Linked DNA regions of Nothobranchius furzeri. The protein of the gene in region 1 purifies or fractionates together with the protein of each later gene. This does not show direct contact. Links are inferred from orthologs where the notes say so. Each region holds a gene or a part of one and is shown on either strand. Other genes may lie near its edges. The genes, in order: histone H2A.Z, trrap, histone acetyltransferase KAT5, nap1l1, mrgbp, chd4b and wdr5.

Region 1 (3,002 bases):
TGTCTCTCCATCATATATTAAGTGTGTTTTTTTTAAATACTGCCATAGATGTCAGACACTTGTTGTATGAACGTTTTAAAATTATTTAGATTCTCATTGTTTTCTAGAAATTTCAACGCTTCAGACATTATATTATTCATTTATCTTACCATACTTAACTTATTGTATTGAGGTTTGGGGAAATAAGTATAAAACAAACACTAATCCTTTGTTTCTGTTACAGACGAAAGTTTTGCGAATTCTATATAAAGCAAATCCGAGAGAACATACTAACAAATATTTTGTTCTGTCTAAAATTATGAAATTCAAAGACTTAGTTAACTTGAAAATTTTACTAATTATGTTTAAGGCTAGAAATAATTTACTGCCAACTAATCTACAAAGGTTCTTTGTTTTGATCCCAAAAAATGATAAGAGTAGATAGAAACCAGAGTTTAAAAGGATATTTGTTTGTACTACATTAAAGCAAATGTGTATTTCAATATATGGTGTGCAATTATGGAATAACCTGGATGATGAATTAAAAAAATGTACAACTACTGATCAATTTAAAAAAATGTATGAAGATAAAATGCTAAAATCGTATGATTTGGTGAGTTGAGGATGGAGGATTAATTTTTTAGTAGTGATATTATTTGTGGAAGTAAGAGAGCGGTTTATTTTTTGTGTATAAGGCTATTTTGTACTCTTTGTTATTTATCTTGTCTTAGTTAAAGGGGGTAGGTCATATAAGATTTTTTCTTCTTCCTCCCCTATTTCACTTGAATGCTTATATTCTAATTTGAAGTTTGTATATTTAAACTTTGAGTGAAATAAATTATTGAATTGAATTGAAATTGTTTGATTTAAAGTGATTGATCCTCTTTTTCTATAAGCCTGGACAAGAGTCACATATGTACCCACAGCAAACCCACTATGATTAAAAACGTTAAAACATGTGTCCTGTATCAAAGCCGCATGTGTGATGTTTGCAGGGGAAAAAATGCATCAAAATTGGTTGAGAATTCAAGGAGTTATGGTTGATTTAACATGCTCACACTTCCATGCCTCTGTCAAAGGGCTCGACCGATCCAAGATGGCAGTAGCGGGTCTGCAGCGAGCTCAGCCCCTGTTTGCGGAAATGGATATTGGCGTTTATTGGCTGAAAGTTGTAATGACGTATGATTGGCTCATATCCGTTACCCGGATAAAGACGGTTTGAGAAACGTTCAAGAAAGCGGCGTAGTGAAAGTAACTACGGCAGCTAAGAAGGCCATTAGTGTTTCGCGGCGAAGAAACTAATTGAGAAGAATTTAAAATGGTGGGTTTTATATATTGTGGAACGTGTTATGTCAACCACACAACTACGGGATGTTGATTCAGGGCATTTAATAAACCCTAGTTGTAGGGTTTATTTTGTGTTATCTGTTAGCCGTTCGTATTAGCCTCCTACTTAGCTTAGCATGCTAGCTAACACGATGGGCGCGCTCAGATAGCAGTTGTCGCATGTCTGGAAGAAGTGAGCACTTTTGTTATTTTCTTTGTGCACGTAAGCGAACGGTACTCGGTGATCAGGATGCTGGTAACTAACCGAATTTGTTTTTCAGGCTGGTGGGAAGGCTGGGAAAGACTCCGGGAAGACCAAGACAAAGGCTATTTCGCGCTCTCAGAGAGCAGGGCTTCAGGTCTGTCCAGTTCTCATTCATTGAGCTAGCATCCCTGCTGCACGTATCTAGTGTTGTTAAGATGGGAGCCCTCTCGTTGGTTCTCCCATGTGCCGTGTTTGCTAACTTGGATCTCTCTTCAGTTCCCGGTGGGCCGAATCCACAGACACCTCAAGTCCAGAACCACCAGCCACGGCAGAGTAGGAGCCACGGCCGCCGTGTACAGCGCCGCTATCCTGGAGTACCTCACTGCCGAGGTAACGCTCATTTAACTTTGACCATGGCTTGCGACATCTGGCCTTGTGCACAGAGCTAAAGTTCGACTTTCTGTCAGGTTCTTGAGTTGGCTGGAAACGCATCAAAAGACCTTAAAGTGAAACGAATTACCCCCCGCCACTTGCAGCTTGCCATCAGGGGAGACGAAGAGCTGGATTCTCTCATCAAAGCCACGATCGCTGGTGGAGGTAAAGAAATGGTTCTCCACCTGTGTTTGCGCGCTGTAAAGCTGCTCGAGGTTTTTAACGTTTTCTTTGTTTTCCAGGTGTCATTCCTCACATCCACAAGTCTTTGATTGGAAAGAAGGGCCAACAGAAAACTGTATAAAGTGGAAGTGTTGTGTGTGTTGTCTCAGGATTGAAGTCTGCATTAGGTGGTTAAATGTTTTAGATTCAAACACATTTAGGATTTTGATGGCAGAGCTTGCATTTACTCACCTGTTTGATTATTTTTTTTGTATGTGGCTTCAAAGAAGCTTTATTTTTTTTCCCTTCTGGTGCTGCAGTTTGTGTTTAAATACAGCTTTTGTGGCATTCCCATTTTAAAGTGGTGTTTTAATAAAGCCTTTTTCCTTTCTTTTTGACCCAACCGCAGTTATGTGTAATTTTTAAAGTTCTTGTGTTTCAAATGAAATTGTGTGTGTGTGTTGCATAGTCCCATCAAAAATCTATTTTCCAGGCCGGCTTGGCTCTCCACTAGAGGGCATGACAAGATCACGAGCTGAGGATCAGGAAGTTGTGCTTTTTTTTTAATTTATTTATTTATTTTTTTTTTTAGACATGGGGTTGATTCTGACAAAAGATTTGGTAAAAAGTGAATTCTGATTTCCTAACTTAATTAAAAAGGGGTAGCTTTTGTGGTAAAGCACGAAGTGACTTTAAAATAAATTTAATTGATAAATACCCAAATTTAAGCATACAAACCTGTTCAAAGCAAACATTTTGTGACATCAGCTTTTTGTTGCTGCTTGTGGCACACCAGAGTGGTTTGTAAAATACATACAGCCGAAGAGATTAAGATGGTTGAAGGAAAATGAGTCACATTTTGGCTAAAAAAATGTACTTAAACCTTTTAAATAGGCTT
Region 2 (4,258 bases), on another chromosome or scaffold:
TGTTTAGTAACAAGGTCTTGTGCAGTGCTTTCCTGTTTGGAGGCCAGACAGATGTGGTGTTTGTTTCTGCAAATTAAAAAGTTTATTTCTGTCATTTTTGATGAAAACTTAAACCTTGGGAATGCTACACTGTAAAGACCCCACCCCCACCCCCGGTCTTCATGCTAGTCCCCCCCCCCCCCCCCCCCCCACACACACACTTCTAAAGACAATACTACGTCCATCCCTGTACACCAAAGGCTGCATCTCCAACCACGAGTGAAGCAAATTTGCACATGACACCACCATCATTGGACTCATCTCTGACAGGGATGAGTCTGCCTACAGAATGGAGGTCGAATGGCTGGTGTCTTGGTGGAGCCACAACAACCTGGCTGGTGCTTAACACCCAGAAGACAGTGGAGGTTGTTGTGGACTTTAGGAAGCATGGAGCCCCAATCCCTCCCAAAACCCTGTCTGACACTCCCATCACGATGGTGGACTCATGTCGCCACCTGACCCGTGTCACCTGGACACAGTCTTTTTGACTCGCTTCCATCGAGCAGGAGGCTCAGATCCATTCGGACCAGAACCTCAGGCTCTCGCCACAAGAATAGTTTCTTCCCCTCTGCTGTTGGGTTCATGAATGACAATACTAGGGCTGCCCACTCCATTCGCTTCAGTCACATGAACCAGTGATGTGTTTGTACCTGAACTGATCCACTCTGATTAGTACCTACATGGTGTGTATATAATAGCCGTTTCTGTAATTATAGCCACTTTAAACTATTTTTACTTCCTATACTTACTTATCTCTTACTTTATATTTCTTTTTGCACCAAGTACCGCAGCAATTTCCTAATGTTGTGATTTCTCGCACATATGGCAATAAAACCCTTCTGATTCGGAAGCCTCGCCATAAGTAAAATCAATCACCCTTAATGGACTGCCATCTACTGGTGAAAATATTTCACGCACAAATTCAACAGATATAGAACCATCTGTATGATTGGTCTTATAATATTACGCAGGTTATATTATGTAGTAACCTGGGAAATAGCCGCTAAAATAATGAAGCCATTAATAACAACTTTGGCTTTTAAACCTCTAATTGAACCATAAATAGTTTTCTTAATGCCCGGTTTGAGTAAAACGTTCTTACAAAATGTTTAAATGTAATGTTCTGTTTATCAATGGTGTTTACAACGTTCTTGATTATTATATATAAAAAGAAATCTAATCGATTGAGCGCAGCTACAAGGACCTAATAGAAAACAGAGGAAGACCATCGAAAATGATGGTCTTATATCTCCTGTTTTAGCTTGTATCCTTCCGCAGGTACTAGAAAAAACGTTTGGACCAGCAACATGTTTTTTTCTCTACCAAATGTCAACTTTGTCGTTCTTATGGATCTATGTGTTGTATACAAATTTTAATATACTGTAGCTAAGCCAATATAAATGACTGGAAACCCGACAGGAGGAGGGATACCTCACATCTTCGCCTGAGAGCTCGAGCGCGGCTGTTAGAGCGAGAGTACAGAGTGTTTCCTGTCGGCGCGGAACAGGCACGGGGTAGGTGCACAAGGTTAGCTCTGTCTTTTAAACTTAGGTGGAGAATGAAGTGGGTTTTTATGGCAAATTTAGTGAGCGTTATTTTGAGTGTATTTTTAAATTGAAGCTAATATCGTTTCCTGTTAGTGGGGTCTTACTCGTTTTCTCTGAAGCAGCCGTCATTGTTAAAGGCTGCAGAAGCGTTTCCTTTCTTTAGAAGACCTAGCTTATTTGCTAACGTTTAACTGTATCCTGCAAAATAGTGTGCCTAAACTTTTGTCCCTTTTCTGGAAACGAGAATGAGCGCGTCAGACGGTTAAATTACTCTTACCATTATTGCGTCCAATTTGTATATTTAGATGCTTTTTAGGATTTGGATTTCTGTTATTTTGCTAGCTGTTTCGTGCATGACGTCATCAACAAGCGTTTTGTTTCTTGATCTCCGTTACGGTTTGTCAACAAAACATTACTTTATCTTTTGTTGCCGAATTGTTCCTTTAACATATGTTTCAGTTTATGTAAAATCTAACAGTTCATAGTACTTTACTACTCTGCCACTGCTGTTGTCCTTTTAATGTCCACTTTTGAGCATTTCATTCAGAACCACTTTCAATTTCTGCAATAATCCTGTTCATGTTGTAAAAATGCATCGACAGTATTAGCCCTTTTAAAAAAACAGCGGAACAGTTTTTGCTAAGAAAAGATTTCAGATGAAGCCTGTTCCCCCAAAATAATGTTTTATTTGCCTTTACATTACTCATCATTTGTTTATTCTATTGTTTTTATATTTTATTTTATTATACAGCCAGTTTTCTACTAAGTTGCCATGCATGAATGAACATACTTAGCTTGTACTTATTTTTCTTTCATTTCCACAGTGAATCTGCGCAGACGGCTGCTCAGTCTGTCCCTGTGGCCGCCATGGCGTTTGTTCCAGCTCCCAGCCCCACGGTGGTGGACCAGACCACTCTCATGAAGAAATACCTCCAGTTTGTGGCAGCGCTCACAGATACCAACACACGTAAGTTCATTAAACTGGATGTTCATGATGAATGGCAGACATAATAAACTCACATGACATAAACCACATTCCTAAATTTATACAACCAGATAGTGAAAATGCCTCAAAATGTTGATAAACACTGCATTTTGTTAGAGAGAGTAATGGTAGTCTGGTATTGGTACTGATTTATTTATATTCTTGTGTTTGAATTTCTAAAATACCACATATAACTGTAATTATAGACAAATAATTGACTTGTGTGTACATTAAGCAAAAATAATCACACACAAACAATTATTGTGCTTTCAGTCCTGTGAAGGGCATAATGTTTACCTAACTGTAAGGCCAAAAAGATTTATGCAAATGTGTACGTTAAAATAAATTGCAGCCCTTTTTATTGGCATCCTCTGCACTAATATTTGAAGATAATATTTGATGCTTTATAGATAAAAAAGTTTTTACAAGTTCCTGTTCTTTGTGTTTTTAATGAGCTACTGTAACTGTAACCTGTGCAGTTTGTGGTTCTGTGACGTTTTAGGGGAGTAGAAGATTTTGTTTGTTGCTAAAAAGAAAGGCAAGCTTAAAAAGGAAAATCAAAGTTATTTACTTTAGCCAAAAGCCTACACATGTATGTGAATTAAAACATTATTTTATAACGTGAGTAGATTCAAGCTTTGTGCTTGGAGTGGGCAATGTGATGAGGGCGATATGCTTTAGTCCAGCCAAAGGTACGAGTGTCTGGGAGTGTGTGTGTGTGTGTGTGTGTGTGTGTGTGTGTGTGTGTGTGGTTCTTGATGTACCTTTTGATTAAGCTGGATGCTGAAAGTGAAACTGATAAGATCTGAGAGCCCACTCTAAGCACACAGACAGCTGTGAGAAGTGGATCCGCATCCTTAATGCTGTCTGATTAACGGCTACACTGTCCTTTAACTTCCAGCTGATGAAACTAAGCTGAAGATGATGCAGGAGGTCAGCGAGAACTTTGAGGTAAGTTAGATGTTTTGAGCGTGTGCTTCTGAGAGGTTTTATTGATTACTTTTTAAACACGTATGAAACGGGTTAGAAAGAGGATCAGAGTAATGTGATTTCTGATAAGTTCTACAGATCATTCTGATTTGATTTGTTGAATTACTTAATGGCATAAACTATTGTGGGCTTATCCCTTTCAGAATGTGACATCTTCACCTCAGTACTCCACCTTTTTGGAGCACATCATCCCTCGCTTCCTCACATTTCTTCAGGATGGAGAGGTGCAGTTTCTGCAAGAAAAACCTACTCAGGTATGTGACGAAAAACAAACCTCTTTGTTTTTTTTTTCTGCACTTACCGTGTCTTTATATCCACGTTCTAAAGTTCTCTAGTAATGAATAGAGTCGGTACGGAACATATTCAGACTTTCGTCAGTTTTTCACTCTTCATAATACTGCAGCCATTTGCTAAAATCAGGTAAATTCATTTTTTCATCATTAATGTACACACAGCACCCCATATTGACAGAAAAACACAGAATTTTAGAAATTTCTGCAGTTATTAAAAAAAACCAAACTGAAATATCGCATGGTTCTAATTATTCAGACCCCTTGCTGCGACACTCGTATATTTAAAAGAGCAAGTCACCCCCCTACAAGAAACTTACTCCACTCCCACTTCATGTTTGAGAAATGCAACAAATGCTGTTGCCTGGCATGCCAAGAGGGAAGAGCCACTAACACACACACACACA
Region 3 (3,941 bases), on another chromosome or scaffold:
ATTTGACATTAATGAGGCACCAGCGTCTAAATCTACCAGAGATCTAACGAGATGACAACTTCAGGTGCAATTTTATTGTTAATTTTAACATTTTACTGGACACATGAATTTAATCAGATGCTTCTTAACAGCTCATTAAGGAGGGTAAACATGGGGGTTGTGTTCTCCAACATTTCAGTGATGTACTATTAAATTAGGAAGATTTTCTATTGCACATGTTTAGAAACTGATTAAAATCTGATCAAAATTTAAGTTTAGTTTGAATGGTTTGTCATACTTTTTTTTACAGCAGGAAACAATATGGATGTAAACTTGTGATATAGTAAAATCCATTTTGCTCCATAAGCATGTTACTTTGTAAAATTCCCTCTTTCCTAAAAGAAAACAAAACACATTATGAGTCGGCAAAGCTCTCAGCAATTACAGGAAAAACTAATAATCTCACCTCTATAATAATGTGATTAACTGCAGCATTTTTGCTCCCAACAATGGAAGACTGCTGCTCTCGTGTGGCAGATTGGTGCAAAAATACACTTGCTTCATAATGCAGTACAAACCTTTTTAACTTCACACACACACACACACACACACACACACACACACACACACACACACACACACACACACACACACACACACACACACACACACACACACAGGAAGTTGACTTACCATGTCACTTTAATTTACAAATTAACTAATTTGATCACGCAATCCAAATGTTGTTGTAATGGCTTGGGTCCGCCAGAGGGCGGAAAAATCTTTACTCTAGACAGGATCGAGTTCTCGTGTTCCGTGAAACTGACCTAAATAAAACATATAAATGCCTTATAGACTGAGTTGGTTTTCATCAATTAAATCAAACGACTAAATAAATTTTTTTTAAAGTTCACATAGATAAAAAAGTCAAATAGAACAGCATTTCTATTTTGTTACTGGTTTAGTTGTATATAGTTTTTATTGTAATTATTTGAGTGGTGTATACATTCTTTGTGAAATTCAAATACATAAATTCTCTTCCTGTTTAAAACATAATGTGTTATTACTATTAATAACTCAAGTAGTGAAGCCATTCTGTTTGCGTTGTTTGCCTCATTTAAGATAGCTCACTAACTTCCGGTGACAGGGCACAAACAACTATCTTGACGTATGTTTTCATCTTTGGCGTGGACCGGCATTTTCCCACAACACCCTGCTGCTGCACTCACAGATGACGAAAATGGTGGACAGCTCGTCTTCGGTAGGTTCTCCAGAGAAACTATGCTACTTTTTAGACATTGACCATTATTTGGTTGTAAAATAACGTTTCATCAACAACAGGTCGAAATTGTCGAAGGCTGTCGCCTACCGGTTCTTCGTAAAAACCAAGAACACGAGGACGAATGGCGTAAGTGTTGTCCGTTTGTTTCCCTGGTGCTAAGCTAATGCTAACTATCGAAGCTCAGCTGGCTGTTAGCAGACACCTCGTCTTCCAGGTAGACAAAAAAACTAAAGTGTTACTAAGATTGAGAAGGTGTGCTAATGTAGAACGCTTTTGAAGCCACTCTTTATTTTTGAGGCTTAACTGTTGAATCCTGTCTGCAGAAGCGTAATCAAATATCTTTATTAAATGTCAACAAACATTCATGTTAATCTTTATTGATTTAGAATATGAACGTTCATTTCTCGCGCAGGAATAAAAACCAACTTCAAATCGTAAGACAAAATGAAGACACTAATAATACAAATGAAATAATTAAGATTTAAAATTAAAATACCAAGTTCAACACACTAAACACTGTTATATCCAGTGTTGGGGAAAGTTACTTTTAAAAAGTAATTAGTAATAGTTACTAATTACTTTGTCAAAAAAGTAACTCACTTACTAACTGAGTTACGAGATTATAAAAGTAACTAATTACCAAGAAAAATAACTACTTATTTACTTTTTTCATTAAAGAATGCAAGAAAATGGGTTAATTGAACTTATTTACTATTAATTACTACAATAGTGAAATATAAATGACTAGTGACTGGAACATAATAAAACGTATGTCAAAATGTTTTTTGTAAACCTGAATAATTTAAATAAATAAGCACTTAACAGGAGGAACAGGAGCATTACACTTATCTAAACTATTAAAACGTCACTGTGTGATATTTAACAAGACCCCAATCAGCTAAAATTTAAAATTGCAAATAGAAACACCTGTAAAGGTTCCCGAGCCTTTAAATGGTCTCTCAGTCTAGTTAAATGACAGAAATGAATGTAAATTACAGTATTTTAACTTTTCCAACTTCACATAATTGTGTGTTATTAGTAGCATTTCTGTTGCTGGTAATCTAGTAATGGTTAAATAAATAAATAAAAATCCTTTAAAATGACAGTAGAAGAGGCACAAATCTGATGGAGGACTTACATTTACTAACGTGGGTCAGACCCAAACACAGAAGAGCTGAAGCTGGGTGGTTCTAATAACACCTGAGCTCCATGACGTTTGAGACTGATGCATCAGTGTTACAGCGGGACTAAAGACATGATCAGAAACAGGCTACAGCTGGATGATCTAGGAAGGTAGAAGATCAGGACGTCTGAGTGGTGAACAGGTGAGCGGACCTTCAGGACGTCCCGCTGTCACGTTAAAGGGCACGGCTGCAGACCCACACCTGCAGCCGTAGACTATTCATCACGTCTTCCTCGTTCTTCACGGGCCGTGATGCACTTGGATGAAAACATCTGCCTCTTTAGCTCCTGATCAGCTGATGACAGCTTCAACACACTGCGCTGCTTAACGCACACATTTCTTATACGTAACAGAAACGACATTTTGATAAAAGAAGATGGTAATTAATTAGGTTGCTCGTTACTGAAAGAAATATTTTTTTTAGTAACGCGGTTATTTTAACCGGCGTTATTCCCATCACTGCTCTGTTGAGTCTACAGCATGCAGTGACTGAGACAGTGAGGGTCTCCGCCCACCCGGCCAATCATCATCGGGTTTGTAAGTGCGTTACTGACACCTCTCTCTCCCTGGCTGCAGCTGAAGTGTGGCGGTCAGAAAGCCTCACACTGTTGCTCAACGTTCGACAAGCACATAGTAACGCACAACCTTCCATCCCCAGTAACGGTAACGGTGTTGCAACAGTGGGAAAAGTAATTAATTAGATTATTCCGTTACCCAAAAAAAGAACGCCGTTATTTTAAACGGCGTTATTCCCATCACTGTTATAGCTGCATAGAAATGCATGGAAGGGCTCTGATAAACTACAGTGTAATTAAACCTGTAGTTTAAACTAGAGGTCGACCGATATTGGTTTGATTGCCGATATGTAAAAGGTCAGCTGATGTCCGATTTGTGCAGCCGATATTTTTATGTCCGATATCTAAATATTTTCACCTTATTTTCATGCTAAAACGTCAGATAACATCAGTTGATGCACAAAATTTCTGAATCAGTTTTTTAACCAACTGTTAAATCCTAATTTTGAACACAGCTCAGTGTTAATATCAGACATTTAAATAAAAGGTAATCAAACAAATCCGTTAAGTGACGTGTCAATTATTTGATATTCAAAACTGGTAAATAAAAATAATTTTGAGTTGGAAATCATTTTTAAAGCAGTGATTAATTTGAAATACTATATTAAAATATTCTAATAAATAGCGTACTTACCCATTTTTAATAACTAGTGTCTCTCAAAACACGACGGCAAGTCTGATCTCGTAAAAACGAAAGTCATTTTCTGCTTCCTGTTCTCAAGTTCGGCCTGATGTGACTATCGCACGACTTTCCGAGAAGTGCTCAGCGGCGCATCATGTTTGACCACTTGACTTCTCAAAACCGCAATGCTTCTGCCGATTTATAAAGAACGCCAAATATTTGCCTTGTATATCGGTCTACCCCTAGTTTAAGCTGTTATTGGTTTAAAACCTAGTTTGACATCTGTAAAGAGCGCTTCAG
Region 4 (3,988 bases), on another chromosome or scaffold:
AAAGCTCTCTAAGTTAGGTTCCATCACTGCTTTCAAATCTCATCTTAAAATGCACTATTTCTCCTTGGCTTTTAACTTTTAAACCCGGTTCTGGTATTTTGTCTACAGGTTTTTCCTCCTTGCATCTTCGTTGCTTAATTTTACATTTTCTGGATTTTATGGTTCTAATTACCTGTTTGGTTTTTATTCCTTTGATTTTAACGGTACTGTCAATTTTATTGTGATTGATCAGTTGTAATACTGTGTTAAAAGTGTTCAACAAATAAAATGGTAATGTGTGGTTTACCTGATGATTAAAAAGCACTCTTTTATATGCATGTATAAATGAATAATGTAAAACAGTTTCTTGTCCGGGGATCGGACCGCCAAGGTTCCCGCCTTGGTCTGCCACCCGATCCACATTGCACCGGACCCTTCATGTTCCTCCTGCGGGTGGTGGGTCCACAGTTGGATGAGCCCATGTATCCGGTTCGGGCTGGGCCTGGCCGGGCCCCATGGGCGGATACAAGCGGCCGAAATTAGTTTCCTCCGTAGGGTAGCCGGGCTCAGCCTTAGAGATGGGGTGAGGAGCTCGGACATTCTGGAGGGACTCGGAGTAGAACCGCTGCTCCTCCGGATCGAAAGGAGCCAGTTGAGGTGGTTTGGGCATCTGGTCAGGATGCCTCCTGGACGCCTCCCCGGGGAGGTGTTTCGGGCATATCCTGCCGGCAGGAGGCCCCCGGGTCGACCCAGGACACGTTGGAGAGGTTACATCTCCAATCTTGTCCGAGAACGCCTTGGGGTCCTGCCGGAAGAGCTGGTGGAGAAGGCCGGGGAGAGGACGGTCTGGACGGAGCACCCTAGTTGGGATGCTGCCCCCGCGACCTGGACCCGGATAAGCAGAGGAAGACGACGGCAATGTAAAACAGTATGATAATTAATATATTTAAGGGAGGGGGGGATGGCACAAGCCTACCCCAAACAGGCAAGATGCTGACAAGATGCTGAGAAGATAATCCTAATTTTATAATGAAAATATAACTTTTTAAAGAACGTGCTCAAGCTCGGGTAATAACTGAAAAACATGGAGATCATAAATGGATAGAGTGATGAAGAGTAGCGTGATCATGATGGTTTTTTAACGTTTGTTCACCCACCAAGGAGGAAAATCTCGCGCCCCTCCCATGAGCGTTGCCTCGGTGACCGCCCGTTTACGTGATGACGTCGGATGTATATGAGCGCAGGCGGCGGGATCTCTCTCCCTTTTACCGCCATCGGAGCGGAGTCTCTTTTCTTCACTGCGTAGTGTCCCTCGTCTAGTCCAGTCTCCGGTCTCAGAGCGAAGGTAAGGGACGGCAGCTGGTAGTGGTTCGGACACCGACGCCCCGAACTCTCCCGTGAGCGACGAAGTTCGGGTTTAATGCTGTAGCGTAAACAAACCGGCTGAGAAGGGAAGACGGCGGTGCTCTGCTAATGCTAGCGAACCAGATAGCGGCAACAGCAGCAGCCATTGAGACTTGCTCCTCCATGATGTGTTAACCATTGACTGTTAGGTGTTAACGTTACACGCGCTTTAAAAATGGTAAAACAGCGGCCATCTTCGTGTGTCTTTAGTAGTTTTCTTTCCCGAATAATGAAGTCGTTAAAGTATAGCACCTCAGACGTTTCCCGCAACTGTCGATTGTTTGCGACATTTTGTTGACACGTGTTTCGTCATTTTTGCATTTATTGACTTGACCTCGTTTTTTTCTGTGAAGCTGATGCTTGGAGTGGGGAACGGACTGGTCAAGGCCGATGGACATTTGTGTTGCATAAGGGAGAAAACGTGTTACCGAAGAGGTGGCACCGATTTCTAAGTGGACGGTATTGTGTGGTCCTGTTCCTCCCACTGGCTCAGCTCGGGCAGTGCGCATCAAGCTAAGCGACCTGCTAGCTTAACTAGCAGGAAGTGTTGAAGCATTCAGCAGCGGACAGGCCGGCTAAAGTTTCCCCGGTGATGAGCCAGGGGCTCGGCCTGCGTTTGTAGCGACAAAGCGCTCCTTTGCTGTTCAAGCAGGTTGGCGTTTTAACTCGGGTTGATGTAGTTCCAGAATGTGGCTTCAAAACAAGAAGCGACATAGCGGGACTTGAAAATGTGTGATGGTTTGGTAGACTTCAGCATGCAACACGTGGTCGGTGGATGGAGACGAAAAGACCTAAACAAAAGAATGATTTGGACGGTCTGTTGGTCCGTGATGGTAAACGTGTGTGAACCGCACTGCCTGTGTTAACCTTTGGATTAAAGACGAGTCCATTGTTGTTGGGCTGTGGAATCATAAAATACACTTGATATTAAAATAAGTTTATTTTTGTATTTCAGATTTTAGAGTGGAGGCTCAGATTAGCACTTATTCTGAAAACGTTAATTTGTAATCAATAGTTATTTAAAATCTGAATATCCTTTCATTGAGTTTAAATTCTAATTTCTAATACAGTTATGTTCAAAAGGATGGCTACAAGTACAGAGTGCTTCCAAATGACTCGAGTTAGTCTATGAAACGCATTTTATAAAGTCTTTGAGTTATTTAAATGTTTTAGTTCTAATTAGATGTTTAAAGGTTTAAATGAACATAGCAGTGAGGCGCATATCATCTGGAGATTTAACAAGGTCAAGTCCAGTTCACTAGACATTTAATTGAAACTGGTTGAGTTCATTTTACTCTCCTATACTTGATGTTAGTTCAAGTCAGCTTAAAAAACCTTAACGCAAACCCTTCTGGTGGTTTTCAGTCCTGGTTGCACACACACAAGTCAAAGTGCCACTACATTAAGTCGTGGAGATGTGATTCAATATGTTGGCGTCTGTTCCAGATACAGATGTAGATTTTAGGTTGTATGGGATCCCCATGTCTGCCTTTGTCACTGATTTCTAGACATGGCTAAGGTGTTGAGGGGATTTGTTTTGGTGGCCTAAGGATAAAGTCTCGGCTTTCTGCAGAGGATGTGGGCCTGTTTGCTTCATCAGGCAATGATCTCCAGCTTTTGCTGGAATGGTCTTAAGCCCGATGTGAAGTAGCAGGGATGAAAATTGGTACCTCCAAATAAGAGAAAATGGTTGATAGAAATTTTGGCTGGACAGTAAATAGAAAATTGGATTTAGAGGCCTGCCAATGGGGTTTTTTCCCCCCAGACCAATGCCGATTTCTAAAGAATTTCGTTGCCAATGGCCGATATCTAAAGCCGATTATTAAGGCTGATATATACATTTTAGCAGCACATTGATTGTGAAAGAAAACTGAACACTCACTGTGTGCAATATAAATTACATAAGTCAATAAATCTCTTAATATTTATTGAACTTCAAGTATAAAACAAACACAAAACATAAAAAAAACCAATGTGTTGTGGTCCTTCGGATCCTTTCTTCAGTCTAGTAGTGGCGGCAGTTGGCCACACAGGTTTATTTATTTTTATCAGCTTTTTAAAATAATTTTGGCCGATATAGAAAAATTGAATATATTTGTTGGCCTTTAATGGAAATGAGCTATTAAAGATAGGAAGGTTGGTCACCCTGGAAGGGCTCAGAGTAGATCTGCTGCTCCTCCATATCAGCATTAAGTAACTTAATGGCACTAGTAACTTGCTGTGCTGCACATGTTTTGATTGGGCATTGGAATATTTTCATATGTAAAGAAGGCCTCTGGTATTCACTCATGTTTTGAGTTGTACAAAGGAAATTTACTTATGTCATACATATGAATGGTTTGATACATCTGTGTATCAGCCACAGAGACTCAAACAAGTCTCTGTGGCTAAGGTCCACATGTTTGCTTTAGTGCTGGTCAGGGTCCTGTTTTGTCGTTGTTATGAAGTTAAACTCCTGTTTCAGTCAAAGAGTAAAAAGTAAATTTAAGGTCATGTTTGGTGTGTCCTTGGTATGTTTTCCTTCTTTTGTTCCCCGGTGAAAAGAAACAAATAGTGTTGAACAGCACATTTTTCTCAGATGGACAAAGGAGAGAACGAGTCCGTT
Region 5 (3,953 bases), on another chromosome or scaffold:
AAAACCTCAGACGTGTGCTTGTTGAAGATCTCACCGCTGGCGCTGGAGCAGATGGGTTTATAGAGCCACTCACACGGAGCGTCGTCCCAAAGTCCGTTGTCATGCATATGAGTGCACTGTGCCTCGTACCAAATGCTGTTTGGTTCTCCAGATGACCAGTATCTGAAGTTTGTCTGTGAGTTTGTGAATAAACCTTTTTCAGCCGGCGACCACTTCCAGTTCACCACATCAAAGGACAAACCAATCCAGGCCTGTTCAGAAAGAAATTCCTTACTTCAGCTTCTAGTATTCCATAATTGAACCTGTCCTGCTTGTGGTGGTAAACTGATGGTGGGATCTCTGTTCTTTTGTTGTGATTGTTCCTCTGGTTCAAACAGGAGCCCTGAATCCCTCAGTAACAGCTCGGACCTGATGGCTGCAGACACAAACACACAGGGGCTTTGTCTAGATTAAGAAATCATAATAAAGATTGTTTTCTCCCATCAGATAATGTTAGAAACGTTTATTCTTTTGCACGAATGCTGTAATGTTAGTAAATTGCCACCAGATGGCGACAAACTTCCTGCAGAAGCAGCTTCCAATGATCGAAGAAGCATAAAGGCACAAGTATAAAAGCCTGCATGGTCAGAGTGATCGTAGATGATGATGATGGTCAAAGAGATGGTAGAGATCACATCATACATACATAGATCGCTGTACACAAAAACTACCAGACACAAGAACAGTTTCCTTCAGCCATTTCTCTCCTGAATCTGTAGATTATTTTACCATCCTTTTATTATAGGTTTTAATACTTATTCAGTATGCTTATGGATATGTGTGTGTATGTATATATGTGTGTGTGTAGATGAACATGTGTGTGGGTATACATGTTCTTATTTGTTTTTAGGTATTTTTTTTCTCATTTATTGTGGTTGTTGTATGTTTTAGAGAGCGAACATCTACCGAAGCCAAATTCCTTGTGAATTTAATTTTACTTGGCCAATAAATCTGAAATCTGAATCAGGAGCTCCTGCATGTTGGCCATTCTGTTCACGCCTTTTAGAAGCTGAAAACTCCCGCTTGCTTCCAGACTTCCTCCTTATGTTGCAGTCCCACGACTCGTGTCGTATTTATGCAAGTATGAAGAGAGTTTATGGAAAACGCGTTTGTTGTTTTTCTCCACAAACCAGTAGGTTTAACTTCAGGAAACGCTACCTGTTTATTTTGAAAAGCAGTTCCCGGAAGTGGCATCTGAGTTCCGGTTGCAGACGGCTCTCTTGTTAGCCTGTTTAGTCAGGTTTAAAGATGGGGGAAGCAGATGTAACACTGAGTCAGACCGACGACAAGCCCCCGGATTCGGGGCTGGTTCCCGGTGAGGACTCGGTGGTCTGGAGCCACGAGGTGGAGGTTTGTTTGTTCCACGCGATGATCGGACACAAACCGGTCGGTAAGAAACCGCAGCTAATGTTAGCATTTGCTAGCAACTAGCGGCCAAACCCAAACAACCAGAGGCTCCGGAACACACCAACCCAGTTAGCGTGCGCAGCTGCTGCAGATTTTCACCATTTCTGTGGGGGAATTCTGAGCTTCGGTGTAAACAGTTCAAGCAGACAATGTCACCAACCCAGCGACCGTGCTTCAGGGTTTAAAACACGGACACGGTGGCGGGTATCTGGGGCAGAACCGTCCAGAACTGCAGCTGTGTGAGACCCAGATGTGCAGAGGGCAGAACCCAAACTGGTTCAAACCAGGGATGCACTGATATCAAGTTTTTGGGCCGATACCGATACCATCATCACTGTCACATGACTAAACAATCCTCATCCCCTCACCCTCTGAAACAGATACACAAACAAGATTGAAAATATACCTGTTGTTAATATCGGCCCAGTTTTACTTATCGGACTGATACTGATATTGATGCTGATATATTGTGTATCCCTAGTTCAAACCAGAATTACTCCAATGTGTCTTAAAGTTATGGTTCTGCCTCCAAGTGGTCACCACAAAACCTCAAACTGTGTTTCCTGCGGGAGTTTCCTTCCTGGATGTAATTATTCACATTACCGTCAGGATCGACGTTTTACTTTTCACTCCAGGACTCTAGAGGGTGCTGTATCAAATACAGGCCATTTTATTGTGAAAGTGTTGAGCATACTGCCAACTACATGTTGTGTGTGACACACACACACACACACTGTGCGTAGTTGTTGTGATGGGATGTGTGTCTGGTTTCAGGTGTGAACCGTCACTTCCACATGATCTGCATCAGAGATAAATTCAGTCAGAACATTGGCCGCCAGGTGTCCTCCTCCGTCATCTGGGACCACCTGGGAACCATGTATGACATGCAGGCTCTGGTACGCACACACACACACACACACACACACACACACACACACCATCGCTGCTGAAGCTGACCCTGCTGTTTGTGTGTCGCAGCATGAATCAGAGATTCTGCCATTTCCAAACACAGAGAAGAGCTTCTCTCTACCTGATGACATCATCCAGGAAGTTAAAGGAGGTAGGTGGGAAATGCTGAGACTACAGCGCTAGTCCTCATCCATCCTTTTTCCTAAGATCAGGAGCTCTTAGACAGGTTTTTGACCCAGTTTCAGACCGGTTCTGATCAGAAGTCTTTAGTCTGGTTGTCTGGATTATGAGACTGAGGCTAAAATCATGTAGCTGGTGAGGGTTGGCTCCTATAGGAGGTCGGATCCGAGCCCGGTCACGATGTGGTCTCTTGTGGTTCCAGGAAAGCACGGATCAGAGGAGGAGACCAAGGAGGAGTTCAGGATTGAGAGAGAACCTCCTGCCACTCATGAAGAAGGTAAAGTTGTAGATGGATGAACCCAGTCAGACTTCTGACCCGGCCCTGGTCCAGATCTAGGAACAGAACCAGGCTTGGTGAACTTTGACCTTCCTAAATCACGAGCCTGGGTGTGTCAGTTTCTTGTTATTTCTCTCTGCAGGAAGTAACTCGTCTGTGAAGATGTCTGAGCGAACGAGCAGCAGCCGAGATAAGGAGAAGGAGCGCGAAAAGGAGAAGGGAGGAGGAGAAGGAGCAGCAGCAACAGGGGGAGGAGGAGCAGGTGCAGGAGGAGGTTCAAAGGAGGCAGAAAAGAGGAAGAGGAGCAGAGCGGCTGAGAAGCTGCTGTCGTCTTCCAACCCTGTGAGCCCAGGAGGTGCCAAGAGGAGGCGCACCTGAGGGCTGGACTCTGATTGGCTGCCTTACACCTGTCATGTGACCACAGCAGGAGGAGAGGATGATGGGACTTCCAGTTATATTCTGGTGATATTTTTTCAGTGTTTTTTGATGTGTGACTTCCTGCTGCCCATCGGTCCGATCGGGGGGGCGGAGATTGTTGATCCGTTCCCATCTTCCTCAGACAGAACCGGGTTCTGCTCCTCGGTCCGTGTGCTAAGGCCGGAGTCCAGGATTCAGGTCCTTTAGACCAAACCCAGGTTCTAACTTCGGATTCAACTCCCAGGATGCACCTCGGCAACAAACATCCAATCAGAGAGCTTCAAATCAGTCACATGCTCTGCTGAACAGACCGAAGACTAAACTCCTGTTTAATCTGGGACAGAACTGAACCACTTGCTGTATTTATGGGTCTGCCGTAGAACCAGAACCACAGAACCTGACGTTCTGATGGACGGAGAGCTAAGGAGCAGCAGAACCTCTCAGCTTCTGTCTGATGTTCTGCTGTTTGGATTTGACCCACTCACTACGTCTACGTCATGTTTTAGAAGCAACAGGACGATGGTTGTGATCCGTCTGCAGCCTCCTGGCCGAAATGTCAAAGGAATCCATCTGAAACCTACGGGAACCATTTCTGTCAGTGTATTTAGCAGGACCTGCTCGGGTTCTAGGTTCAGAAACCCGGTTCATGTACAGCCTGCAGAAGCTTCCAGATCCTCCATCCGGATCAGTCTGTTCCTGGACTCCAGGGAGGCAGCAGCTGATT
Region 6 (3,500 bases), on another chromosome or scaffold:
GCTCCGGGTGAGAGGCGGAGGGCTGGGGTTGGCTTTTTGTTAGCCCCAAGACTCTCTGCCTGTGTGTTGGGGTTTGCCCCGGGGGATGAGAGGGTAGCTTCCCTCCTTCGGGTCGGGGAACGGGTCCTGACTGTTGTTTGTGCTTATGGGCCAAATATCAGTTCAGAGTACGCACCCTTTTTGGAGTCTCTGGGACGAGTGCTAGATAGTGCTCCATCGGGGGATTCCATTGTCCTGCTTGGGGACTTCAATGCTCACGTGGGCAATGACAGCTTGACCTGGAGGGGTGTGATTGGGAGGAACTGATCTGAACTCGAGTGGTGTTTCCTTATTGGACTTCTGTGCAAGCTGCAGTTTGGTCATAACGAACACCATGTTCGAACATAAGGATGCCCATCGGTATACTTGGTACCAGGGCAGCCTAGGTCGCAGGTCGATGATAGACTTTGTAGTCGTATCATCTGATCTGCGGCCGTATGTTTTGGACACTCGAGTGAAGAGAGGAGCGGAGCTGTCAACTGATCACCACCTGGTGGTGAGTTGGATCAGATGGCAGGGGAAGATGCCACGTAGACCTGGCAGACCCAAACGCATAGTGAGGGTCTGCTGGGAACGCCTGGCAGAAGAACCTGTCAAGATGGTCTTCAACTCCCACCTCCGGCAGAGCTTTAATCGCGTCCCGAGAGCAGTGGGGGACATTGACTCCGAGTGGGCCTTGTTCCACTCTGCGATTTTTGAGGCGGCTGTTGCTAGCTGTGGTTGTAAGGTGGCCGGTGCCAGTCGTGGTGGCAACCCACGTAACCGCTGGTGGACACCAGAGGTTCGGGGAGCCGTCAGGCTGAAGAAGGAGGCCTACAGGGCGTGGCTGGTCTGTGGGTCTCCGGAGGCAGCAGACAGGTACCGGATAGCCAAGCGGAGTGCAGCAGTGGCAGTTGCCGAGGCAAAATCTCGGGCGTGGGAGGAGTTTGGTGAGGCCATGGAGAAAGACTATCGATCGGCTCCAAAGAGGTTCTAACAAACTGTCCGGCGCCTCAGGAGAGGAAGGCAGCAACTCGCTCACACTGTTTACAGTGGGGATGGGGAGCTGCTGACGTCAACTGGGGATATAGTCGGACGGTGGAAGGAATACTTTGAGGAGCTCCTCAATCCCACCTATGCGCATTCCAAGGAGGAACCAGAGCCGGGAGACCTGGGGATGGACTGTCCAATCTTGGGGGCAGAAGTTGCTGAGGTAGTCAAACAACTGCACAGCGGCAGAGCCCCGGGGGCGGATGAGGTTCGTCCTGGGTATCTCAAGGCTATGGATGTTGTAGGGCTGTCGTGGTAGACACGTCTCTACAACATTGCGTGGTCATCGGGGGCAGTTCCTGTGGAGTGGCAGACCGGGGTGGTGGTCCCCATCTTTAAGAAGGGTGACCTGAGGGTGTGTTCCAACTATAGGGGGATCACACTCCTCAGCCTCCCTGGAAAGGTCTACTCCAAGGTACTGGAGAGGAGGGTCCGATCGATAGTTGAATCTCAGATTGAGGAGCAATGTGGTTTTCGTCCTGGCCATGGAACTATGGACCAGCTCTATACCCTTGCAAGGGTGATGGAGGGGGCATGGGAGTTTGCCCAACCAATCCACATGTGTTTTGTGGATTTGGAGAAGGCTTATGACCGTGTCCCCAGGGTCATCCAGTAGTATGGGGTGGGTGGCTTTCTGTTAAGGGCCATTCAGTCCCTTTACCAGAGGAGGGTGAGTTTGGTCCGCATAGCCGGTAGTAAGTCGGACCTGTTCCCGGAGAGGGTTGGACTCCGCCAGGGCTGCCCTTTGTCACCGGTTCTGTTCATTAACTTTATGGACAGAATTTCTAGGTGCAGCCGTGGTGTGGAGTGTGTCGAGTTTGGTGGCAGGAGAATCTCGTTTCTGCTTTTTGCGGATGATGTGGTCCTCCTAGCTTCATCCAGCTCTGATCTTCGGCTCTTGCTGGGTAGGTTCATGGCCGAGTGTGAAGCGGCTGGGATGAGGATCAGCACCTCCAAATCTGAGACCATGGTTCTCGACTGGAAAAGGGTGGCTTGCTAACTCCAGGTCAGGGGAGAGGTCCTACCTCAAGTGGAGGAGTTTAAGTATCTCGGGGTCTTGTTCACGAGTGAGGGTAGGAGGGATCGGGAGATCGACAGGTGGATTGGTTCGGCGTCTGCAGTGATGCGGACGCTGAGCCGATCTGTCGTGGTGAAGAGGGAGCTGAGCCAGAAAGCCAGGCTCTCGATTTACCGGTCGATCTACGTCCCAATCCTCACCTATGGTCATGAGCTTTGGGTAATGACCGAAAGAACGAGACTGCGGATACAAGCGGCTGAAATGAGTTTCCTCCGTAGGGTGGCCGGGCTCAGCCTTAAGAGATAGGGTGAGGAGCTCGGACATTCGGGAGGGACTCGGAGTAGAACCGCTGCTCCTCCGGATCGAAAGGAGCCAGTTGAGGTGGTTTGGGCATCTGGTCAGGATGTCTCCTGGACGCCTCCCTGGGGAGGTGTTTCGGGCATGTCCTGCCGGCAGGAGGCCCCCGGGTCGACCCAGGACACGTTGGAGAGGTTACATCTCCAATCTGGTCCGGGAACGCCTTGGGGTCCTGCCGGAGGAGCTAGTGGAGGTGGCCGGGGAGAGGACAGTCTGGAGCTTCCTAGTTGGGATGCTGCCCCCGCGACCCGGACCCGGATAAGCGGAGGAAGACGACGACAAAGTGTGCATGTGCCGCCGGCAACTTCAGCAGATGATACGGTGGCTGGTAAGAGTCACCGCGCCTATACCGCAGCCACGGTAATCCACCGAGATAATATATTTTTTAAAAAACAAGACGGTTATTATTATCGTCAACTTTTTTACCGGGGTTTACCGCTACACCGGTTACCGTGACAACCCTACTTACTTCTGCATGGGGCTCAGCTCCACTCGAACGATGAGTTCTGTTTTAGAAGGCATGTGTTTGAACACATCGGCCTTCAGCCTCCTGAGCATGTGGGGTCCCAACATGTCATGGAGTTTCTTGATTTGGTCCTCTTTGGCGATGTCTGCAAACTCCTCCAGAAACCCTTCAAGGTTACTGCAAAAAATATGAACAAATGATTAAAATTCTGTCCCTGTGAGCTTCACCACAAAAACAAAACATAAAGCAACTAACTTGAATCTCTCTGGAGTCAAGAAGTTCAGCAGGTGAAAAAGCTCCTCCAGGTTGTTCTGAAGAGGGGTTCCAGTGAGCAGAAGTTTGTGTTGCAGTGAATAGTTGTTCAACTGCCTAAAGAACTAGAATTAGAGAGAAAAACAGGGAAAATGACAAGAAATCTCTGAAAATATGCTCATTCATAAAGCACAGCAAAGCATTGAGTATCTGCAGGTTTAAGGGAGCCAAATTTAAGACTTTGAAGGCTTTTTTAAGGCCACTTTGACCAAATTTAAGCTATGTTAAAAATTAAAGCTATAATTTCCAGCTATTGCCGGGAACCGGTGCTAACCACGT
Region 7 (4,296 bases), on another chromosome or scaffold:
AGCTCTGCAGAAGATGGTCGTTAATTACCTGCTGATTACAGTCAGCTGTGTTGAATCAGAGACCTCTCTAAATTTTGCCTTCTTCAAGCCAGGAGACTCGTAACCAACGTGCACGTTCAAAATATTTATAGAAAAAAAATCTGGCGGACGTGACAACGTGCACGTTAGCCACAAGAACAGAACACGAGACAAAGCTCAGTTTAAAGTTAGAAGACATTTGTCAACATGATTTCAGATTCCCGAAATAACTTGTAAAAGCTTTTCATAAGCGGTGACGCAGAAGATATCGTCAAATACTTTTCGTTTACAGTGAAAAACGTGGCGTAATGTACGAATGAGACTAAATGACTAAATAAGCGAGATGGTTTTACTCAAAATGTATTAAAATGTAGGTTTGGACAAAGCGACATGATTGGCTTTAAAACGTTTCAAATACTTATCGTGAAATAAAAACACAAGTATGCACGATGTTCGTTAGCATAAAGTTAGCTAGCTGGTTTGGTAAGGGACACTGCAGCGGATGACAACACACTTTGTGACACCGACTGTTGATATAAGTTTCGAAATACCAACTACAGGTTTTGGTTAAGTAACGTTTGCTTTAATTTGGGGCAAAATGTAGCGCCAATAAATAAGCTTGAATTAAATTATCATATAACGAAGCGAAGAAGTCCGCTTCTTTAAACACCTATTGTTGTTATGGAGGAGGCTAACCGCTAAGTAATGAGTAAAAATAAGAAAATAACAACAGAAGTGTTTACCAACTCATTTAAGAGGGCGTGTTGACATGGGAGCTTGACGCTGCACGGCTTGGAAGAAAGCTCACCGAAGCCAAAACAAACTAGTGAACACCAGAGTGCAGTGTGTTCAAAAAGAACTAGAAACTTCTTCCCCGACCTATTGCAGCCACGGCTGAAGGGACAGGTCTGGTGCTCATAGCGCCATCTGTTGAGCCGGAGAATCCAAAGCGCGTTCACAGCTGATTTATGGTAAAAGTGTGAAATCTGCATTTCACAAAATCATATTTATAATTGTGGAAAGTATTGAGCTAAAAAGTAAATGGTTAGGGTTATATAAATAAATGCAAGTGATTTACTATGAAAATATCACAGTCAGTAGTTCATAACTACATAAAGCATAAAATAAGGTTACGACGTATTAAAGATATGTAATTTGTTTGTTTTATTTAGATTTTTGTTTGCTGTGTGTTTGTTTCTGTTTCATGTAGACTTTTCCTTTTTGCATATTGATTGACTCTGACAGCCACAGCCTGGTTTTTAAATGGCTACTGCCTTTCATTGAAATTTAGATGAAGTATTTCACATAATGTACTTCTACAAATTCTCTGTTGAGAATTTTTGTCATTTTAAATTTAAAAAATACAAACTTGTAATAAATAAGATTAATTAAAACTATTGGGCTCTTTTCAAACGGCAGTCGAAACGATTTTTTCATAATTGTCCCTCATTAGTTCCCGTCACTTTTGAACGTCATGCGCCTGCGCAAACTGTAAGCACATTCCCCGCTTCACCTCGCAGCTCGTTCCTTTACCAGGCAAACATCCTCAAGCAAATAGCTTGATTTGTTCTTTGTTCTATCTCTCTTTAGTTATTATACGGACTGTTTTAGATTTCCAGGATTTGCAAGGAGTACCAGTCTGACTGTAGATCTAAATTGATCAACGTAAGTATCGGTGTAAAACCGAATCTTCATTGTTTCAATGGAGGCCCCCTTCGTGGCTGCATAACTTGTCAACAGCATCAACTGCATGTCAAAACTGCGATTAGCTTCTTCATATAACTGTGGCGTTCATGCCAAAATACATTTTATTCCGCGAGACAGCCTCTAATCTATAGATCTTCACGTTGTTTTGTTCGAAGGTAACCCAAGTATATTCAGGTGTTGAACTTTACAGCGAACGTACTCGTTCTCCCTTTGTTTGCTTTTATTTTTCGCATAAATAATAATTCGAAGCAAAAACGAGCTGGTGTCAATGCATTTGAAGGCAACACAAGATGGTAAACGGTAACCGGACAAGGGGGTTGGCCTCAATCGGTTTTCATAGTAAGAGCAATTTAACGTTAGCTAACTTCAGCTAGCTGCATTAGCTAATTTTATAGCTAAACGGACCCTAAACGGGCATTTAAATACTTTTGAGCATCACAGCCTATTAATAAGCCTAATTAAAGTAAAATTTACATGATATATACTTAATTTATCTTATTTAAAGTAAACCCCACTGTTTATTTTAGATCACAGTAAAGGAAGCTAATGCTAACAGATAAAACAATAGTTTTTAATCACGTTTACCTTAATGGTGGTTATTAGCAGTCATCGAGCTGGAGGGTTTATCTTATTTCTCCAAACTTTAAAATTCCGGGTGTTAGAAATTGTAAAATTTCCACCCAATAACTTATCCCAGTTGTTTAATCTTTAGGTTTAACTTGCCTGATTTATTAACTTTTTTTATGGTTTCTTCTTTTGTCTCAGGTGCAATAGATGCTGATTTCCTCACCATGGCAACAGAGGACAAGAAACCAGAGACTGACACCAAGCCTCCAGTTGTCCCATCAGCCTCTGCTAGCCAAAGCAAGGTCTGACAAACCCAAGTTTTGGCATTGCCTGTAATCTCCCACCCTGTCCTCTTATGATAGTTTAATTCTAAGTTTTTGTTAAGGACTGTCAATATTCCAGCATTATTTCGGATTTTTTCTTTCTTTATTGAAAGTATTTCATCATGTTTATTCATTTGCTAAATTAGAACTGGTTTTCTTTTGCAGACTGCACCTGCAAAACCAAACTACAGTTTGAAATTCACACTAGCGGGACACACTAAGGCTGTGTCCTCGGTTAAATTCAGTCCAAGTGGAGAATGGCTCGCCAGCTCGTGTAAGCATCTCATTTTGAATCATATCTTGTTTAAATCTCAGCTACCTCAACATAAATCTTCTTTCATTCCATAATAAAATGTATTGGGTTTTGTGAAACTATGTTTGATCCAGAGCTTTTTTTAAAGTTTGATAAAACACTTGTACTGCATAGATGAAGTGTATTTTGTGCTCTAAGTTAAATGTAAATAACAATAATAGCAGTGCTTTAGTGACTAAATATTCTTATGCAATTGTGAAATTTTTATTGGTTTTAGTATTTATCTTTGGGTACACTCGTTTCATTTGAATATCTGATCAGCTGAAATGATTGAAATGGGGAAATTATATATTTTTTACCATTTTGCAACTTTTCAGTCATTTTTTTTCTCTTTTTCATGATGTCTTTTTCATTGTTTGTGTTACAGCTGCTGATAAACTCATCAAAATCTGGGGCGCTTATGATGGCAAGTTTGAGAAAACCATTTCTGGACACAAACTTGTGAGTAGAAGGGACCCTTACCTGTGGCACTGTTGTGTTTCTGCCTGCAGGACTGTATTAGGTAGAGTTTCACCGCTTTTACTAAAACATCAAAGACTCCTCCCACCCTGGTCATTACTGTTTTGGACTCTTGCCGTCCAGTTGGTGCAAACAATCCCCTTCCCCACAGCAGTAAACTAAATGTACTAAAACCCTCTCATGCGCATTAGAGCAAAAACCTCAGTCACCAGTGCAATAAGTCTAATATAAAGTGAATACATTTACTGCTGCTACATATCTAGTAAACATGTACTTCTGTTTATATATTTATATCTGTTCTTTTTTTCTTCTGTTATTCCAAACACACCATTTGAGTGCCATGCAGCAGCAGAGGGTATTCACATGCAGTGAATAATAAAAACTTTGAGTCTGATCTGTTTGGTCGTTCAAAGCAAGAACAAGATTGTATTTACATTTTTAGAAGATAAACATGAGAAATGACTCCATTGTTTACTCTTGTATCATTTTATGTCCTTGAAGCCTTGAGATCTTAGAATTTCTTTATTTTCCAGGGAATATCTGATGTGGCCTGGTCATCTGACTCCAACCTTCTTGTTTCTGCGTCGGATGACAAAACTCTGAAGATCTGGGACGTTAACTCGGTAAGAATGTTTTAAGGTGTGGTTCATTGAAAAACCTTTTTTAATGATTATTTTAGTTACTCTGAGGTTTTTCATGCAGGCTGAACATGACAAAAGTCTCCTATCTTCTGGATTAGCTAGAAAATAGATGGTGAAAGTCTAGGGTTAGAAAATCCTGACAGATCCACGTTACACTGTCACTAAACATTCATGGGCTCACCCATCTTGGCTCATGACGAGGACGGCTATTGTTGGTTTAGCGTCCAGAAAACAGCATAGAACATCTCGGCTGGTAGAAGCTAACCGT

What was found.
Region 2: the proteins of histone H2A.Z (region 1) and trrap purify together in Homo sapiens (affinity purification with mass spectrometry; 3 studies listed by BioGRID and IntAct, with this or other methods). This does not show direct contact. The link is inferred for Nothobranchius furzeri from reciprocal best matches to the Homo sapiens genes H2AZ1 and TRRAP.
Region 3: the proteins of histone H2A.Z (region 1) and histone acetyltransferase KAT5 purify together in Homo sapiens (affinity purification with mass spectrometry; 6 studies listed by BioGRID and IntAct, with this or other methods). This does not show direct contact. The link is inferred for Nothobranchius furzeri from reciprocal best matches to the Homo sapiens genes H2AZ1 and KAT5.
Region 4: the proteins of histone H2A.Z (region 1) and nap1l1 purify together in Homo sapiens (affinity purification with mass spectrometry; 3 studies listed by BioGRID and IntAct, with this or other methods). This does not show direct contact. The link is inferred for Nothobranchius furzeri from reciprocal best matches to the Homo sapiens genes H2AZ1 and NAP1L1.
Region 5: the proteins of histone H2A.Z (region 1) and mrgbp purify together in Homo sapiens (affinity purification with mass spectrometry; 4 studies listed by BioGRID and IntAct, with this or other methods). This does not show direct contact. The link is inferred for Nothobranchius furzeri from reciprocal best matches to the Homo sapiens genes H2AZ1 and MRGBP.
Region 6: the proteins of histone H2A.Z (region 1) and chd4b purify together in Homo sapiens (affinity purification with mass spectrometry; 3 studies listed by BioGRID and IntAct, with this or other methods). This does not show direct contact. The link is inferred for Nothobranchius furzeri from reciprocal best matches to the Homo sapiens genes H2AZ1 and CHD4.
Region 7: the proteins of histone H2A.Z (region 1) and wdr5 purify together in Homo sapiens (affinity purification with mass spectrometry; 3 studies listed by BioGRID and IntAct, with this or other methods). This does not show direct contact. The link is inferred for Nothobranchius furzeri from reciprocal best matches to the Homo sapiens genes H2AZ1 and WDR5.

What each region holds. Positions count from the first base shown.
Region 1 is NC_091743.1:88,106,831-88,109,832, reverse strand, and holds histone H2A.Z, read left to right. Parts: upstream 1-1,162; 5' UTR 1,163-1,297; coding exon 1,298-1,300; intron 1,301-1,586; coding exon 1,587-1,664; intron 1,665-1,786; coding exon 1,787-1,900; intron 1,901-1,977; coding exon 1,978-2,107; intron 2,108-2,184; coding exon 2,185-2,246; 3' UTR 2,247-2,502; downstream 2,503-3,002. UniProt on the Homo sapiens protein: Variant histone H2A which replaces conventional H2A in a subset of nucleosomes. Nucleosomes wrap and compact DNA into chromatin, limiting DNA accessibility to the cellular machineries which require DNA as a template.
Region 2 is NC_091756.1:29,470,916-29,475,173, forward strand, and holds the start of trrap (transformation/transcription domain-associated protein), read left to right. Parts: upstream 1-1,458; 5' UTR 1,459-1,553; exon of another isoform or gene 1,554-1,566; intron 1,567-2,410; 5' UTR 2,411-2,453; coding exon 2,454-2,553; intron 2,554-3,472; coding exon 3,473-3,522; intron 3,523-3,704; coding exon 3,705-3,815; intron 3,816-4,258. UniProt on the Homo sapiens protein: Adapter protein, which is found in various multiprotein chromatin complexes with histone acetyltransferase activity (HAT), which gives a specific tag for epigenetic transcription activation.
Region 3 is NC_091750.1:47,314,777-47,318,717, reverse strand, and holds the start of histone acetyltransferase KAT5, read left to right. Parts: upstream 1-1,141; 5' UTR 1,142-1,210; coding exon 1,211-1,240; intron 1,241-1,320; coding exon 1,321-1,387; intron 1,388-3,941. UniProt on the Homo sapiens protein: Catalytic subunit of the NuA4 histone acetyltransferase complex, a multiprotein complex involved in transcriptional activation of select genes principally by acetylation of nucleosomal histones H2A and H4.
Region 4 is NC_091741.1:58,518,278-58,522,265, forward strand, and holds the start of nap1l1 (nucleosome assembly protein 1-like 1), read left to right. Parts: upstream 1-1,188; 5' UTR 1,189-1,324; intron 1,325-3,988. UniProt on the Homo sapiens protein: Histone chaperone that plays a role in the nuclear import of H2A-H2B and nucleosome assembly.
Region 5 is NC_091755.1:46,194,091-46,198,043, forward strand, and holds the start of mrgbp (MRG/MORF4L-binding protein), read left to right. Parts: upstream 1-1,153; 5' UTR 1,154-1,287; coding exon 1,288-1,429; intron 1,430-2,220; coding exon 2,221-2,342; intron 2,343-2,424; coding exon 2,425-2,506; intron 2,507-2,737; coding exon 2,738-2,812; intron 2,813-2,954; coding exon 2,955-3,190; 3' UTR 3,191-3,953.
Region 6 is NC_091745.1:74,018,085-74,021,584, forward strand, and holds part of chd4b (chromodomain-helicase-DNA-binding protein 4), read right to left. Parts: intron 3,287-3,500; coding exon 3,165-3,286; intron 3,087-3,164; coding exon 2,913-3,086; intron 1-2,912. UniProt on the Homo sapiens protein: ATP-dependent chromatin-remodeling factor that binds and distorts nucleosomal DNA. Acts as a component of the histone deacetylase NuRD complex which participates in the remodeling of chromatin.
Region 7 is NC_091746.1:41,695,250-41,699,545, forward strand, and holds the start of wdr5 (WD repeat-containing protein 5), read left to right. Parts: upstream 1-1,496; 5' UTR 1,497-1,683; intron 1,684-2,490; 5' UTR 2,491-2,516; coding exon 2,517-2,594; intron 2,595-2,780; coding exon 2,781-2,889; intron 2,890-3,295; coding exon 3,296-3,369; intron 3,370-3,920; coding exon 3,921-4,010; intron 4,011-4,296.